2 linked regions of the Arabidopsis thaliana genome follow. The protein of the gene in region 1 interacts with the protein of each later gene in a pairwise test. Each region holds a gene or a part of one and is shown in the gene's direction. Other genes may lie near its edges.

The links. The genes of interacting proteins can lie anywhere in the genome.
Region 2: the proteins of TGA3 (region 1) and AT5G11010 interact in binary tests that used the Arabidopsis thaliana proteins (3 or more experiments, as listed by UniProt).

The regions. Positions count from the first base shown.
Region 1 is NC_003070.9:7,785,998-7,794,229, forward strand, and holds TGA3 (transcription factor TGA3), read left to right. Parts: upstream 1-3,135; 5' UTR 3,136-3,653; coding exon 3,654-3,659; intron 3,660-3,991; coding exon 3,992-4,192; intron 4,193-4,278; coding exon 4,279-4,365; intron 4,366-4,500; coding exon 4,501-4,560; intron 4,561-4,635; coding exon 4,636-4,713; intron 4,714-4,799; coding exon 4,800-4,863; intron 4,864-4,963; coding exon 4,964-5,235; intron 5,236-5,311; coding exon 5,312-5,545; intron 5,546-5,671; coding exon 5,672-5,824; 3' UTR 5,825-6,142; downstream 6,143-8,232. Other genes in the region: AT1G22065 (uncharacterized protein), read left to right, coding at 1-110; AT1G22080 (Cysteine proteinases superfamily protein), read right to left, coding at 6,407-6,415, 6,631-6,718, 6,793-6,980, 7,228-7,315, 7,392-7,738, 7,814-8,092.
Region 2 is NC_003076.8:3,480,222-3,488,309, forward strand, and holds AT5G11010 (Pre-mRNA cleavage complex II protein family), read left to right. Parts: upstream 1-3,410; 5' UTR 3,411-3,642; exon of another isoform or gene 3,643-3,932; 5' UTR 3,933-3,954; coding exon 3,955-4,121; intron 4,122-4,378; coding exon 4,379-4,476; intron 4,477-4,588; coding exon 4,589-4,628; intron 4,629-4,708; coding exon 4,709-4,866; intron 4,867-4,946; coding exon 4,947-5,130; intron 5,131-5,218; coding exon 5,219-5,396; intron 5,397-5,478; coding exon 5,479-5,578; coding exon of another isoform or gene 5,579-5,610; exon of another isoform or gene 5,611-5,664; coding exon 5,665-5,846; 3' UTR 5,847-6,046; downstream 6,047-8,088. Other genes in the region: AT5G11000 (hypothetical protein (DUF868)), read right to left, coding at 1-114; AT5G11020 (Protein kinase superfamily protein), read right to left, coding at 6,218-6,367, 6,464-6,553, 6,642-6,760, 6,888-6,987, 7,078-7,174, 7,267-7,330, 7,414-7,546, 7,629-7,885 and 1 more. UniProt on the Arabidopsis thaliana protein: Polynucleotide 5'-kinase involved in rRNA processing.

The DNA.
Region 1 (8,232 bases):
CCGCTGGTGGAATCGAAGAGAACGGTGGAGGATCTGGTCGATGGTTCTTTGGAAAGCTGAGCACCAAGAAAAACTCTGCTAAAGTTTGTGATCTTATGATTACAGAATAAGCTATAATGGCGCGTCCAAAATTAATCAAATAATTATAATGAATAAAAACGTTAGAATTTTCTTTTGCCCTTTTTGTTTGCTTTATGTTTAATATGTAGTGTTTATCGTTTGAATTTATTTTATGATTTTTTTTTTTCTTTGGGTTTTAAGCAAGTATTTAGATTGGATGTTTTATAAAGCTATAAGAGTTTCTAAATCCCTGCTACATATGTAACGATTATATAGTCATGAACTCATGATGAGTTATTTTTAAGCATAATAAGTTTAATTAGGACCAAACACACATAAATAAGGAATTTAAGGGCTGGAGTTACAATATATGCCAATTTATTCTCAGACCAGCATCTCTCCTTCCCGTGGCAAATCCAGAGGGTCACGCAACTATCTGAATTAAGTATAGATAAGTATAGTATCTAATCTATCTATATGGGTGACATCAGAATTTGATGCAAATTGGAATAGCCAAATGTGATGGACAAATTAGATTATTTAGAAATACATTTTTTAAATAACTAAGAGTATCTGGCCCTAAACTCATACATCTTTTCAGACGAGTATCATAATTGTTTGTTAAATGTAAATTATTGAATCTAGTACCAGGTTTTTAAATCAATGAACGGCCGTTTAATAGTTTACAAGAAGAATGTTCGGCTAATCTACTAGATTTATATAGTAAAATAGATTTTTATAAAAACTAAAAAGCAAGTAAATGGTAAAACTAGTACCAAATTAAATATATAACGCCGTTAATATATTTCCTAATTAACTAATCAAAATGGCCAAAACATTATAGTATATGTGGCGACCAATATGCGACCTCCTGTTCAAAAAATCAAACGTACTAGTGGTGTACAAAATAATATTTTGAAATCTTCATTATGAAACGTGAAATCGTCAGGATTTTATAGATTTTGTTTTCCTCTAATAAATTTTTCTAAGAGCCTAATTATTGTCAAATATTTTGTAATGTTGGCGTAATTTTAATTATTTTTAATAATTGAAAATATATTTTGTAGATTCAAACAATTTAGGATATAGTTGAATGAAGTTGACAAGTTGATGCATGCAAAGAAGTAAGAAGAATGACATTCTTGTATGCGAAAATGATTATTTTCAATTAGTGACTGATATCTTTTGCAAGTCTAAAATAAATATAATATATTTTATTAACAATTCGTGAAAAGTCTTTTTATTTGATGGCAAAATACTACATGGTTGTTCTTTTTTTTTGTTGCAACCATGTAATGATTAATGGTGATATTGTTGGTTGGTTGGTAGTCGAATGTTATATGGTTATTATTTTTTTGGTTGCAACCATGTAGTGATTGATAGTGATACTGTTGGTTTGCTACATGGTTACTCCTTCTTTGGTTCCAACCATGTAGTGGTGGTTGATGGTGATATTGTTTGTTGGTAGTCGAATGCTACATGGTTGCTCCCTCTTTGGTTGCAACCATGTAGTGGTTGATGGTGATATTGTTCAGTCGATCATAAAATATATGATGCATGAAGAATATAAATTATTGAATTGTTTTTCCTTGCTAAAAAGTTAATAAAAAACAATTTATCCTAAATACTCTTATTTTTTTGTAATTATGTTGTTAAAGGGTCTAAATTTTTATATATCCTTTTATCTTATATAAATATATATATATATATATATATATATATTATTTTATTGTTTATATATATGTAAGTAAATGATTGTGTATAAACAAAATTAATACTGAAAAAGACTAATTTTTAAAATTTGTACCAAAATTCCAGTTCTATTGAGCCGGTTTTGGGTGTATATATAATAATATATTATAATATATAATAATATATTATAATATATCGTGTATTAAAATTTAAAGGTTTATTACGAAATTTTAGACTTAAGATTGAATTCTATCATCTAGATTATTAAAGTTAAATAACTTATTATGATCTATTATTTTTATCATTGTAGACACTCTTTTAAGTGGTAAAGTTTAGGTCTAAAATCTATACATGTTATATAACAAAATAAAGAAAACACCAAAATTATTAGGGTTAACGAAAATAATATGTGACGTTACAGAAAAGAAACTTGCGCATTTTTAAAAAAAAAAAGTTGTACAAGGCGAGAAGCCTTAAAAAGCGGCACAGAGACTTCTGTAGATTTTTTCTCACGTGCACTTGCCATGTGTTGAATATTCGACAAATTTTATGGGCTTTACTCTAAGCCCAACTTTTCCTCTTTAGGCCTTTCTGCGCTGTTGCGTCAAAAAGACAAAAACTTAATAGATTTAAGAAAATCAAAATGATTCATTTTAGTTTCGGTATTTATCCTTTTGCATGTCATTGATCAATACGTTTTGAATCATATTTATAAAGATTGAAAACTATAGTATATGAAATCTTTATTAAAGCCAAACCAAAAGCCCCACTTATTTTACGTATTTGTCTCTGTCGAAACGCAGATTTTATCAGACAAGTGGCACCAAACTAACTAAAGAATCAATATTGTATTAGGCAAAAGAAGAAAAAGATAACAAAATTAATCATTTTCTTAGAGTTGGGTAGGTCACTAGAGGCCCAATTATTACTCACTAAGCTAAGGAGGAGTACTTAAGTTAAAAGATGCCACTGCATAGCACTGAGACCCTCCAAATAAAGCGAATAAAAATTAATAAATTGATTAAAAGTATTAATCTTCCACTCTTGTCCCACAAAATGCGACCTAATTTCTTGGAAAAGTTTATTCAATTTCTGAATAACAAATAATTCACAGTTATTCAAATATTTATACAAATAAATTATCAGCTATATTTAAAATCGTTACTAAAAAATATATTTAACCAATCGGTAGTAATCTCGTGGTACAAATATCAATTATCCATTTTCAGATCAAATCATTACTATAACTATTTTAATTTAAAAACTATATATATATATATATATTATATATCAACTTTTTATAATGTGAATCATAAGTCGACTATTAAGTTTTGATATATGATATTGTATGTTTTTTTCTAACAAAATCATAAACAAATCACATCTTATATATATGAGATTCAGATTCTCTATGTTAAAAAATAAAAATTACCGGAATATTCCCCTCAAGCATCTGACGTGTCGGCCGACGATGAAGAATCCAGGTCATCAAAAGGTGTAGTTTAGAAACAGAGGCGCACGATAAGGTCAACTTTTGGAATAGAGGAAAAGACTCAACCTTTTTTATCATCTCTCTCGATTTGTTTTTCTCCCGGTGGTGATGCTTTTGTCGTTTCATCGTTCGTTTACTTCAACTTGCTTATTATTCTACGCTCATGGACTAATCAAAGCCATGAGGAAAAAAAAAAAAGCAACAACACAAAATATATGTATAAAAAAATAAATATCTCTGCTTTTTTTTTTCAATGATGGGTACGCTTCACCTCTAAGTTTTGACCAAAGTTTTTCTTCATTTCTCTCTTCTCTCTTGTGGTCACCGTTTGATCGGAATATTCCTTTTAGAATGCCAAGATTCATTCTTCATCTCTCGAGCTCCTCATGAATTTCTTCTCTGCTTATCAATGGAGGTTGGTTTTTGTTTCTCATGTTATCTTTTCTTGCTTTGTGAAGTCCTTAAATTTTCCAATTTTGGTTTTTAGTTGTTGCAACTTTCTAGTTTCATGGGTATTACTCTATTTGGCTATGTTTCTTCAAAAGGCTCTGTTTTGGAGAGCTGGGTTTTCTAAAGTTTCAACCTTTATTGCTAAAACTGAAACTATAACTACTTGTTTATTGTGTGTGTTAGTAAGCAATGCAATTTTAGAGATATGGACTGGATCTATATATCTATTGAAAGCTGAGCTAGAGAATCTGTTTCTTGAATTCAATAAGCTTGAGTCTGTAAATTGTTGATTTACAGATGATGAGCTCTTCTTCTTCTACTACTCAAGTTGTATCATTCAGAGACATGGGGATGTATGAACCATTTCAACAGTTATCTGGTTGGGAGAGTCCTTTCAAATCAGATATCAACAATATTACTAGTAATCAGAATAACAATCAGAGTTCTTCAACAACACTTGAGGTTGATGCTAGACCAGAAGCAGATGATAACAATAGAGTGAGTTATTGTTTATTCCTGGATCATGCTTTAGAATGATTTATAAGTGTTGTTTGTTTGGTGATTGATGGTTAATTATGTTGCAGGTGAATTATACTTCTGTGTATAATAACTCTCTTGAAGCAGAACCGTCGAGTAATAATGATCAGGACGAAGACCGGATCAATGATAAGGTAAGGCTTTAGCATTTTAAGGCTACTTATACCTTTTGCTTCGAAGACTTCATAAACTCCTCCTTCTCCATTTTAATCTTTAGAGGAAGAGACACGGCGTGATGACATGAATTGTTGTTCCTTCTCTATGAACAGATGAAACGGCGTTTGGCTCAGAACCGAGAAGCTGCTCGCAAAAGTCGTTTGAGAAAGAAGGTAACCTTGGTGGGATTTTTTCTTGTGTTAATGATAAAAAGGAAAGCTTATGCAAAGTTGTGTCTGTGCTTGTAGGCCCATGTTCAACAGTTAGAAGAAAGCCGGTTGAAGTTGTCACAGCTCGAGCAGGAACTTGTAAGAGCTAGGCAGCAGGTTAGCTCAAGCTTGTTTATTTGTTGTGTGTTCATCAAACTTTATCTGATTCATTCTGACTCAGTGATTCTTCTGGTTTGTATTAGGGATTATGCGTACGCAATTCTTCAGATACTAGTTATCTAGGACCAGCTGGGAATATGAACTCAGGTTGGTGTTTATATCACTAAATAAGCATATGTTAGCATTGCTTTATCTCTTAATCCTCAGTAGATAAAGAAGTAATTTTCCCAATAATAACCATTTTCAGGTATTGCTGCATTTGAGATGGAATACACACACTGGCTAGAAGAGCAAAACAGGAGAGTTAGTGAGATTCGAACAGCGCTCCAAGCTCATATAGGTGACATTGAGCTCAAAATGTTGGTAGATAGTTGCTTGAACCACTACGCAAATCTCTTCCGCATGAAAGCTGATGCTGCAAAGGCTGATGTGTTCTTCTTGATGTCGGGAATGTGGCGAACTTCAACTGAACGCTTCTTCCAATGGATTGGAGGTTTCCGCCCATCCGAGCTTTTAAATGTAAACTTCTTTTTTACTTTTACACGTTTCTCTTTCTACTCTTGAGAAAAAATGCTCAACCTTTTTTGTTGTCTAGGTTGTGATGCCATACGTTGAGCCCTTAACCGATCAGCAACTGTTGGAGGTGCGTAACCTGCAACAGTCGTCTCAGCAAGCAGAGGAGGCTCTCTCTCAAGGCTTAGATAAACTTCAGCAGGGTTTGGTCGAAAGCATAGCAATTCAGATAAAAGTTGTTGAGTCTGTGAATCACGGGGCTCCAATGGCTTCAGCCATGGAGAATCTTCAAGCATTGGAGAGTTTTGTGAACCAGGTAACGCTAAGTGTATTTGCTTTGTGCTTTTGCAGTCTCCATGAATCCAAAGTTTATTTTCATTTTTGATTAGAAACTTTGTGAGCATGGATTTCACAAACAAAATCTCTGACAATATTGGAACAGGCGGATCATCTGAGACAACAGACCCTGCAGCAAATGAGTAAGATATTGACGACAAGACAGGCTGCTCGAGGGTTGCTCGCTCTAGGAGAATACTTCCACAGGCTGCGTGCTCTTAGTTCTCTCTGGGCAGCTCGTCCACGAGAACACACTTGACAAGTTAGGAGGCAAACAAAACAAAGAGAAAGAAGCACAAGGCAGATGATGTTAGCTATAGGGACTTGCTTTATCTCTCAGAAAGTGTTGGCTGATATTTTCTCCATTAGAGAGCATCATCTTCCTCATTGATGATTTTGTTTACTTGAAAGGAATAAGAGATGTGTAAATTTGGGTGGAAAACATGTAATGTCTTTGATGCATTAGGCTCTTTATTTGTAAAATATATAGGGTTTGTTGTCACTCATCTCCTCGTATATGAAAATTTGAGCCCACAATCAAATTTTTTGTCTATATTGTTATTCCAACAGTTCTTAGCTTATATTTGTTGTTGGTATAAATTGGTCAATAGACAAACAATAAATTCAAATAGATTCATAGAGAGTTTGATCATTCCCTTCATTCAAATTGTGCCTAAAATGAATATCCTACGGGTCTCAGCCAAAAAAGCCCACACCGAGGAAAGATAAAGACAAGAGTTAAAGGTAACACATGTTTCTTCCCTTTTGTGATACAAATGGGGTAAAAAGGGTTAGTTCTCTTTCTTTCTTTATCTCTCCTGTAAAATTCAAATCTTCTTCACTAGCCATCCTGGAAAAAAGAAGTAAAAAGACATAAGAATAGACCAAGAAATCAACTTCCAAATGTGAAGAACACAAGACTCATATGGAAAAGGCAGCAGAGTACTTCATGTAAACAAGAAAGTATCCATGACCCGGTTTACTACTACTTCCTTGTTACAAAATACAAGCTAGGAGGATGAAATATTACAGTCTCGTGCTTCTTAAAGAGAAAGGATTATTTACCTCTGGCATGGAACTGCTTGGGCCACCAAGTGATAAGGCATTGTGGCTATTACTTGAGCCCATAGAGTGTCCATAGAAGTCGGTACTTCTGCAAGCAAGCATGATCAGTTGGTAAGTATGGTATAAATAGTTTGGGAAAAGAAATCACTAGTAACAGAATACCTAGCATCTGAATGTTCCATCTTTGAAGCTACATCAGAGGTCTCTCCTGCGTTGTTGCTCAAAGGGCTTGATCCAAAGCTTAGTTGCGAGCATTCTTCTGTAGAGATTGGCAAATTATCTGAAGTTACAACAGCAGGTTTATCGTCTTCATGAGATGCTTCTTGATCATGACTATTTGTATCTCTTGTCTGCAAAAGAAGATAAAACCATACGACAAAGCCAAAGTTCCAGTAAAACAAAAATGACAACTAGCTTAAACCAGAAGTCATTTGATTCCTGTAAAACATCAAGAGTCAGGAACTACATGAGGACAGCTAGTGATACAGAGTTTGAGGACAGTAACAACTCCTCAGGTATGACAGATTTCCTAATTCATAAGATGAAATTAATGTTAAAAGATAGAGAGCCAGAAGCTTCAGAAATCTGTCATCTTACATTTATCAACTGCCTGACTTGGCCATGAAGACTTGCGACGTCATCATCATCTAGGTTAGAGTGCAATTTAGAACTGCTGCGCGCCACTCTGCAACCAAAACACAGCAATGAAAGAGTCGCAACACTGAGCATTGTTCAACTCTGTGACAGTCTGATCAATTTACCTTTGACGACGACGCTTTTTAGATCTTTTTGGTTCATCTTGTTGCTCCTGTTTCCTCTTAAGGTTTGCCCTTGGAGCTTCATCCATTAGTGGGCAATTAAAATCCGAAAGAAGATGGCGTGGTGTTGAGGAGGGCCGAAGCATATCTTTATCATTATCCTGAGCACCAACCACCATGTACATCACTTCCAGGGAAACCCATACATACCCACCAACACCAATTTTTGGGCCGTTGCTCAGCTTGCACAACGCCACCTGTTCGCGGTTAATCACATCTACCTTGACAATCACCACGTCATGAAACCCCGTGAATTGAGTATTCTCTTCTAATGGGCCACGGTAGATGTGCTGCACAACAATTTATATATGTTAGCTAAGAAAGTAAGACCTAATCAAATACTACACTGCTTAAATTATTCTTACTTCTCCAATACGCCACAACTCAGGGAAAGTAATTAAAGCTGCACCAACAGGCTGAATGTGAAGGTGGGCTAAAGCCTTGTCCAAAGTGTCGAAACTAAGGACAGACTTTATCTTGTGCTTTCTCTTATGAGCACTTGGAGGATAACGACGGCATTTATACTGACGAAACTGTGGGATCTCTTTTGGGATCCCTTCTCTTTCAATATGTTCCAAGGCTTCAGCAATTGAATTACCGTAGCACACATGTCCCTTTTCCGCATGTTTATCCTTGCCGAGCATCTCTGGTTCAACATGGTTGCTTAGGTACCAAGCACACAGTGGAATATATGTATCTTCCCAGTGGCGGATAATCCTTATGGCACTGGTTAGATCGGAAGAAGCGTACGCCTAACAATTGATGTGCCTGAGCTGATCTCGAA
Region 2 (8,088 bases), on another chromosome or scaffold:
GAGACATGTTGTGAGATTCGGATCACCGGAAGATAGAGGGGACGGTGATTGCGACGGCGGTTGCGGTGGAGGATGATTGTGATCGGCGGTTGGGCGGAGCCAAGACGGAGACATTTTCGTGTTTACTTTTTTTTTTCAAGTTGGGGAAGAAGAAGAAGAAAGAAAGAATAAAAGAGAGAGATTTTCGGGAGTTTTGTATTTGGGAGGTTTTTATTATTTGGTTAAAGAGGGATTTGTATATTTATATAAAAAGATTGTTAAATTTTCAGAAAATGGAAAGGTTATAATAATGATTGGCTCGAATCATACGTAAAACAAGAATGTGGATGAGGATTGATAGCGATATGAGATTATAATTATGCGAAAATTTTGATCTTGTGGGCTTGCAACTTGTAAACTTGGGCATAAAATCTGACTTTTTCAACTTGACTTTCTTCTTATATATGGAGGATGGATTTAAACAAGAACTATTCACATTAGGTTGAATATTACGAGATATTCAGGGTTAACAGTAAAAAGGCGTTATTAACTGTTCGAGTATGAGGAACACGTTATGATTAACAAGCCTGCACACTTGAAGGTTTATTGGAGAACATAATCAATTGGTATAAGTTGGGTCAATTATTTCACATTATACAACCTTTTTTTTTTGTCACATTATATAATGGATTTAGAATTAATACACACCCATTAATTACATTTATAGTAACACATGTAGGAATAGTTTTAGCTTTTGACATACCCATTGATAGTCTACATGTAGTAATAAAAATTACATTTATAGTAACACACACCAACTATTTGTTATTTTAACGCCTAATGGACAGTTAAAAAACAAAAATACTATAATTAGTGTGAATTATAATCTGATACTATAATTAGTGTGACAATTGAAAAATGTATCCCTTGTGCTGCCTGAAAAAAAAGACAAATTAATAGTAATTGGTTCGGTCGAATTAATATGATTTGAACTTTTCGGTTTATTTAATTATGTTTTCATAAGTTATATTTTATTGATTTCTTGAGTTATTCGGATACGTTGGCAGACAGCTAAAAGGAGGTGGATAAGTACTTATTGAGTCATATCCGTATTATTAATTAATTTGATATTTTTGTTAGATCTGTATTTTCTTATACTATAAATCAAGGTGGGTTTTGAATCTTTAGGTTCAAGAAATTAAAACTGTAAGACAGGTAAACTGTTTTTTCATTATTTATATAGTTAGCTACGTGTATAACAACCCATTCAAAATTTATAAGCTATGGTTTATACACCAAACATTTAACTTATTCGAACATGTATTATGATATAATATTCTTAAACACTTAAGTAATCACAAGTTTAAGTTTAGCAAGTTCCCAATTTATCATTTTAACATTGTTTAACTTTTTTTGCCGTTAAAATTTGGGTGAAAATAATTTTGTTAGCCATGAGTAAATTGTGAATTCAATTGGCAATTATCGTTTTAATAAGACTAAAATATTATTTTTGACGGTAAAAAAGAAGACAGTAAAAATAATTCTTTCCCGATCTAAAATCAGCATAATTTTGAACTTAATAAAAAAATCATATTACTAAAACAATGTTCTCCCGAGTAAGTTGGTATAGCTAATGCAAAAAGAGTCCTTGTTGTCTCATCCCATGCCATAATCTTTGGATCATATCCACATGTTTTTTGATTGTACAAGTGAGATCTTTGATAGCAATAAACAATTTCATGTAATAATTACACTTACTTGTAGCTAGCAATATGGTTTGCTTCAAAATTACTCTGTCTCCTATCTTTTCGAGTACTTTCAAATCAAAGGAGGATATTTGTTTCATTTATTGACAAAAACTCGTACTTCCAAACTTAGTCTGGACAATACTTTAACAAGAAGAAAGAAAGTATATATATATATAGAACATAAAGTTATCTAAAGTTAATTTTGAAGAAATGGTGGTTAAGAGAGTATGTATACTTGATTTTGTTTAATGAAATTATAAGAAAAACGAAACGATTTTGAGAGCAATGGTTGACTGAATTTTCTCATGTGGAAGACTAAGACCAGGTCAGATTGAAACGACAACACGCTTTTAGTAATTCAACTTAATAACCCCTCCTCTCTCGAGTCTCGTCGACCTTCATTTTCTTATACTGTCTGTCCACTTCTTAGATTCTCTTTTCAACTTTTCAAATACCTTTCTTTTCTTTGAGCACCTACTTCAACTTCATTAATATCTTTTGACTAAACGGCAGTTTTTTTTATATAATTGATTTGGTGAAACTGTGTGTATGATTGGTATAATCTTCTACCAGAATGACAATAATTTGGCCGCTCACAAAAATCCTATTAAGAAGGTAACCAAAAAGTAGAAATATAGGCTGTGTGTAAAAGAAAGAAAAAAAACTGTGTAGAGATAAATTCTACATGCTACTGCTAAAGATTTAATTGTTTTTTTACAACCTCTGATTTCATATCTTGGTACTAATAGCTGTTTTACTTTAGGAGAAATAGTAATTTATGTATTTACCAGTTAATCATCAGATCCGAGAACCTTGTAATGGGCAAATAAATTGTGAAGATAATTATAAGGACACAACAAATATATGTTAATACAAACAATGTTGTTCCATGTGGGGGTTTTCACTAACTTGTGAAAAACTTTGAATTTATTTGTATTTCAGAAAAGTGTATATTATATGACGAAAAAAAATAAAGTATATATTATATATGCATTTTGAAAATATATGGTTAATAATGAATTCATCGGCGGAATATTAGCTGCTACGAAGTAATTGAGATCTCGAAATATATATATATGATTGGTGGGAAAGAGCAGGTTCATGTCTCCAAGTTCATTATTTTAACGAAATAATATTACGTACAAAATTTGCTGGAGATGAGGAGCTAGGTACCAAATTAAATCTTATAAACAATGGCTCTAGAGTTGTCACTCTTACGTTTGCATGTGTATTGTTTGATACTAATCTTTTGACAATCCAACTTGATATTCTTATTTTGATTATTAAGCCCAATTGAACTGAGTCTAATGACTAATGAGTATTACCTATATAGAAGCTCATGATTGATTTAATTTTAGTTGGTTGTTCTAAGCCTTTTCTTGTGTAAGTGGAACTCAAACCACGTGTTCATAGGTTTCACTTGTGTATGCACTCCTGAAAGGAGGATTAGACTAGTAGTCTTCCGTACGCAGTTCTACTTCTGCCATTGCCACTGCTACACTGGCTGTCGTTTCTTCTAGCGGACATAGCTCCCAGTTCGAACTCATTCACTCGTTTTTTGGTTTATGTTCAAACTTTCTAGGTACATAATCTTAAATTTTGATCCACATTCGAATAGACACATTAGACAAGGTCGTTCTCGAGTAATTCCTATTTTTTTTCCGGTTCGCTAACACTTTGTTCTGGGTTTAACCATACCGGTTTTTATTTGAAACGAATTCTATTAATTGTGGTTTAAGTTCCGGTTCGGTTTCGAAAGCACTAGGAGAAACTAAAATCCCTAAATTTTCATCGTTCCCTCTGCTTCTCCGACGGCTCGATACCTTCTCCTCTGGTCGACGACTCAAAAATCGCCGGTTATAGTTTTTTCTTCCGACCGTTTTCTAGTTTCGTCATTTTCCGTGTTATTTAACAAGTATGTTTACGTTGAGCTTCATTCTCTATTACGATGTCTTACCTCGTAGAGACTTTACCTAGATTAATCGGGGCATATCGAGCTTGATGTGATGTTTTAGGTTAGTAGAATCGAGCTTAGATACATCAAATTTGAGCAGAGTCTCTAATACTCGTGTTTTAGGTAGAAAAAGATGAATTTTGTTCTTTGTTATGTACATTAGCTTAAACCCTTGTTAAAACACAGTTAAGAACTTGTTGGTTGTTTATAAAATGGTCTTTTATTGAACTCTTTTACATGATTTCTCTCAGAGAAAGATAAGGTGTGGCTGCAATGTCTGAAGCAGAAAATAAATTGCCTTTCATACCAGAGGAATGGTCAAATGCAGCAAGTTCTGTTTCCTGCAGTTCGTTGCAACCGGTTATAGCTTTGGTCTGTGGCCCTAAAAACAGTGGCAAAAGCACATTTTCACGCAATCTTGTTGAAGTTCTTCTCCAAAGGTTATTACTTTCCGTTAGCCTCTCTTTATTGTTCCCGGTCTTTTAATGAGTGTTCGTGAGTCTGATTATTGGGGAAAACTGTCTTTTTTTTTTTTTTTTTTTTTTCCGATCAGGGGAAAACTGTCTTGACCTTCTACTTCTTATAATTTGAATGGAACCAGATTTAGTTTGAATGGATGCAATTTTCTTAAGTGGCTTATGATGGTTGCTTTGTTTCGATAAGTTTTGCTGACAATTGACCTTTGTGGTTCTTACAGATACAAAAGGGTTGCTTATTTGGATACTGATGTTGGCCAGCCTGAATTTACTGCACCTGGTTTCCTTTCTCTCACAATTGTTGATAAATCAATTCTAGGTAACCCTCATACTTATTGCTTTCACGATTCTTGTTGTTTGCATTCCGAAAACTTGTTTTCATAATGCTGTTTCAGTCACTTATGTTTCTGGTTATATTTTCTACTTTGTAGAATCGGATTGGACAGTTCCATGTGTAAAGACACCAGAGAGGTTAGTTTGGATCAAGCAAATTTTGTGATGTTAAGAATTTAAGCGACTTATTCCCCTTTCTCTTTTGTTTGATGATTCAGATGCTTCTTCTATGGTGATGTTTCTTCAAAGAGGGATCCAAAGGCATATTTAAGATATGTATATACCTTATTCGATTACTATCAGCTACACTTCTGCAAGTCTAGCGAGAACAAAACTGAATTGCCGCTTGTCATTAATACACCAGGATGGGTTAAAGGTAACTCACTCTCTTTATCCTTTCAAAACAAAAGGAACAGATTTTTTCTTTCACTAATAGAAATGATTCACAACCTTTAGGAATTGGCTATGAGTTATTGGTGGACGTGCTGAGATATGTTTCCCCTTCCCACGTTGTGAAAATTAACATCTCTGCTTACAACAAGAACCTACCAGCTGGGTTGTTCTGGTTAGACGGTAATGATGATGAGACAGCTCATTTGATAGAGATCCAATCTGCTTACCAAGACAGATATAATCAATCGTAAGTCCTGTACAATGCTAGTTATCGAATAATCTCACCGATACGCTTTGTTCGAGTAGTTACAAGTTTTTGTATCCTGTTTGTACAGCATTTTAATACATAAGGATGCTCGTTTGATGAGGGACATGCGTATAATCGCCTACTTTAGGCAATGCTTTAAAGGAAAAGAAGTAAACACGATCAAAGAACTAACACATGAACTCGCTTCCCATATTCCTTATGAAGTTCCAATATCGAGTTTAACAATCAACCATCTCCATTGTCAGGTAAAAAGAAAACAGTATAAAGGTCATATCTTTCTAATCCATATGATTGATGATGCCAATAATGGGGTTCTCTTCTTTTTAGATCCCAAGTTCTGAAGTGTATTATAGTTTGAATGCTTCCATTGTTGGTTTGGGCATTAGCACCGAGGTGTTTGAGGATTTGCCATCATGCGTAGGTCTTGGTAAGTTTCTATTTATCCATTGCAATCAGTGATCGAACATGGGTTTATGATTATGTATTGAAGTTGGTTTTGGATGTTGAATGTAGGAATCGTGAGGGGTATTGACACAGAGAGAGGAATATTATATGTGATCACTCCAGTACCAGAAAACTTAGTTGAGAAAGTTGATCTTCTATTGCAAGGCTATATTCAGTTACCTACTTGCCTCTTAGAGGTGAAGGATTACAGGTCGCCATATTTATCTGCCAACGTCTTAGCTTCCACCTGATTTCTTTTAAGACATTTTTGCTCAGTTCTTCGTTTTTACTATGTGTCAGTTTATCTACAAAGTTTCATGTTTTTTTATAGTTCAACTTACTATGCAACCAGGGTTAGATCATCTTGGAGACGCAGTTAGTTATGTGTCTTGTCCACACCTACTACTAATGTCACCATTTACAACTTATAATAATTTTCATTTGTTTTCGTAAATAGAAATCACATGAGAAAAGAGTTCATCAACAGTGCGCAAGTAAGCATTTCAAAAGGATACTGTAATGTTCCGGTTACAACTTCTAACCCAATATACACATCAAAACCACCTACCGGTCAATATTAAACCGAATTTCTATAAAAAAAAACACCGGTTTTCTATGGTGTTTAACAGTGATCCATTGAAGCACATTTGATGGTTTTTAAGGTTCCACCAAGTTCCATTGGAACCAAAGGTATAAGAGAATGCAAGACGTCTGTAATCAACGGTCTATAACTCGGTTCTGGCTGCACGCACAAAATCGCCACTGCCGCTACCTACACATTCACATGCTCGCATCAAAACTCTTGATACTATCTCATCAAAACCAACTATATACTTTGCACAATCAACTAAATCCTTCTCAAACGTACCTGGTAAAGGTGTTTCAAGTCCATCGTATCTTTAATCGCAGGATCTATGACGCTTGGTAACTTGGTTCTATCAGTGAGATAAGGCATTGCCTGAGAAGAATAAAAAAACACAATTCAAAGTTGGTTCCAAGTCTAAGAGTTTTAGAGAAACATAAGTATGAGTTTATTATATATGTACCCAAGTGATGATGGATTGGCATTCACCGGGAGCTAGTTTCTCCACAGGTTTTTTCCCGAGTAAAAGCTCTAATAACACTACTCCAAAAGCATACACGTCGCTCTTTTCTGTCAATTGGCCTATAGAACCAAACACATGCAGTATGGTGATGAGTAAGAAATGCTTCTCATAAAAACACAACAAGTTTCTTTAAGGATGATTTTTTTTTAAAGTAAGACTTGACAGATTGTTATTTCAGGGTGTTACCGTTGAGAAGATACTCTGGTGCAACGTAGCCAACTGTCCCGGAAAGTTTATGGTTCTTGTTCTTTGGCCCATCAACAACAGCTAGACCAAAATCTGAAATCTACATTTCATAGAAAGCTAGAGCTTTAGACAAAAAAAACAAAGGAATATGATATTGAAACATTATGACTTTAATCACTGATTTGTTTACCTTAGCATTGAAATTGCTATCTAATAAGATGTTGGATGATTTCAAGTCCCTGTGAATGATTGCTGGATGACAATGTTCATGCAAATATTCTAATCCCCTAATTTGAAACAAACACAAAAATAGTAGTTGTTTTAGTCCTCTAGATTGTGAATTATTGCAAGTTGAAACACGAAAAAGTCACAGGCTCACCTTGTTACATCAAGAGCAATCTTCATCCTCATAGGCCATGTGATCGCCGAACCCTGAGAAGATCCTGAGAACAAGTAGTTGAACAAAAAGTTTCAGTTTCTCTCATGTTCACAACTTTTACAAGAATATGTAAATAGGTTTATGTACCGTGTAAATGAGATTCCAGAGAAACGTTTGGCATCAGCTCATAGACAATGAATCTCGCAGTATCATTCGTGCTATAACCCAAAAGGGATATTATATTCGGGTGCTGGAGCTTACTCAATATCTCAACCTCACTCTGCAAACCCCAGAGAATATAACAAACTCAGGAAGATGAAAACATGGAAGAGTTATCATAAAAAGAAAGATTGGTATAGCACCTTAAATTCCTTTGCTGCATCTTCATTGGCACAGTCTAGCTTCTTAACCGCAGCTGAAATGTTGTTCTCTAATGTGGCAGAATATACACATCCAAATCCACCTTGACCCAAAATGTTACTCTCCTTGAAACCACTAGTTCCTTCTTCTAGTATATTGTAATCGATCAATGACACTGTTCCCTGCTTTGTAGTTCTCTTGTCTAATGTTTTTGAGCGACTAAACCGATTCAAGAATGTGATTCCACTACACCCACAACCTTCAAAACCCAAATTGACACATTGAGAGTCACTTTCTCAGCTTTATCGAATTCATCATGAATTTCAAGATTAAGGCCATAAAAACGTGAAAACGAGATGTGACTAAGAGAATTTACCTGAGCTCTTGAGGTTTCTTCTCCTATGGCAAAACCAATAAAGCAGAGAGCAAAGTAAGATTATACCAACTAAGGAAAATGTAGCT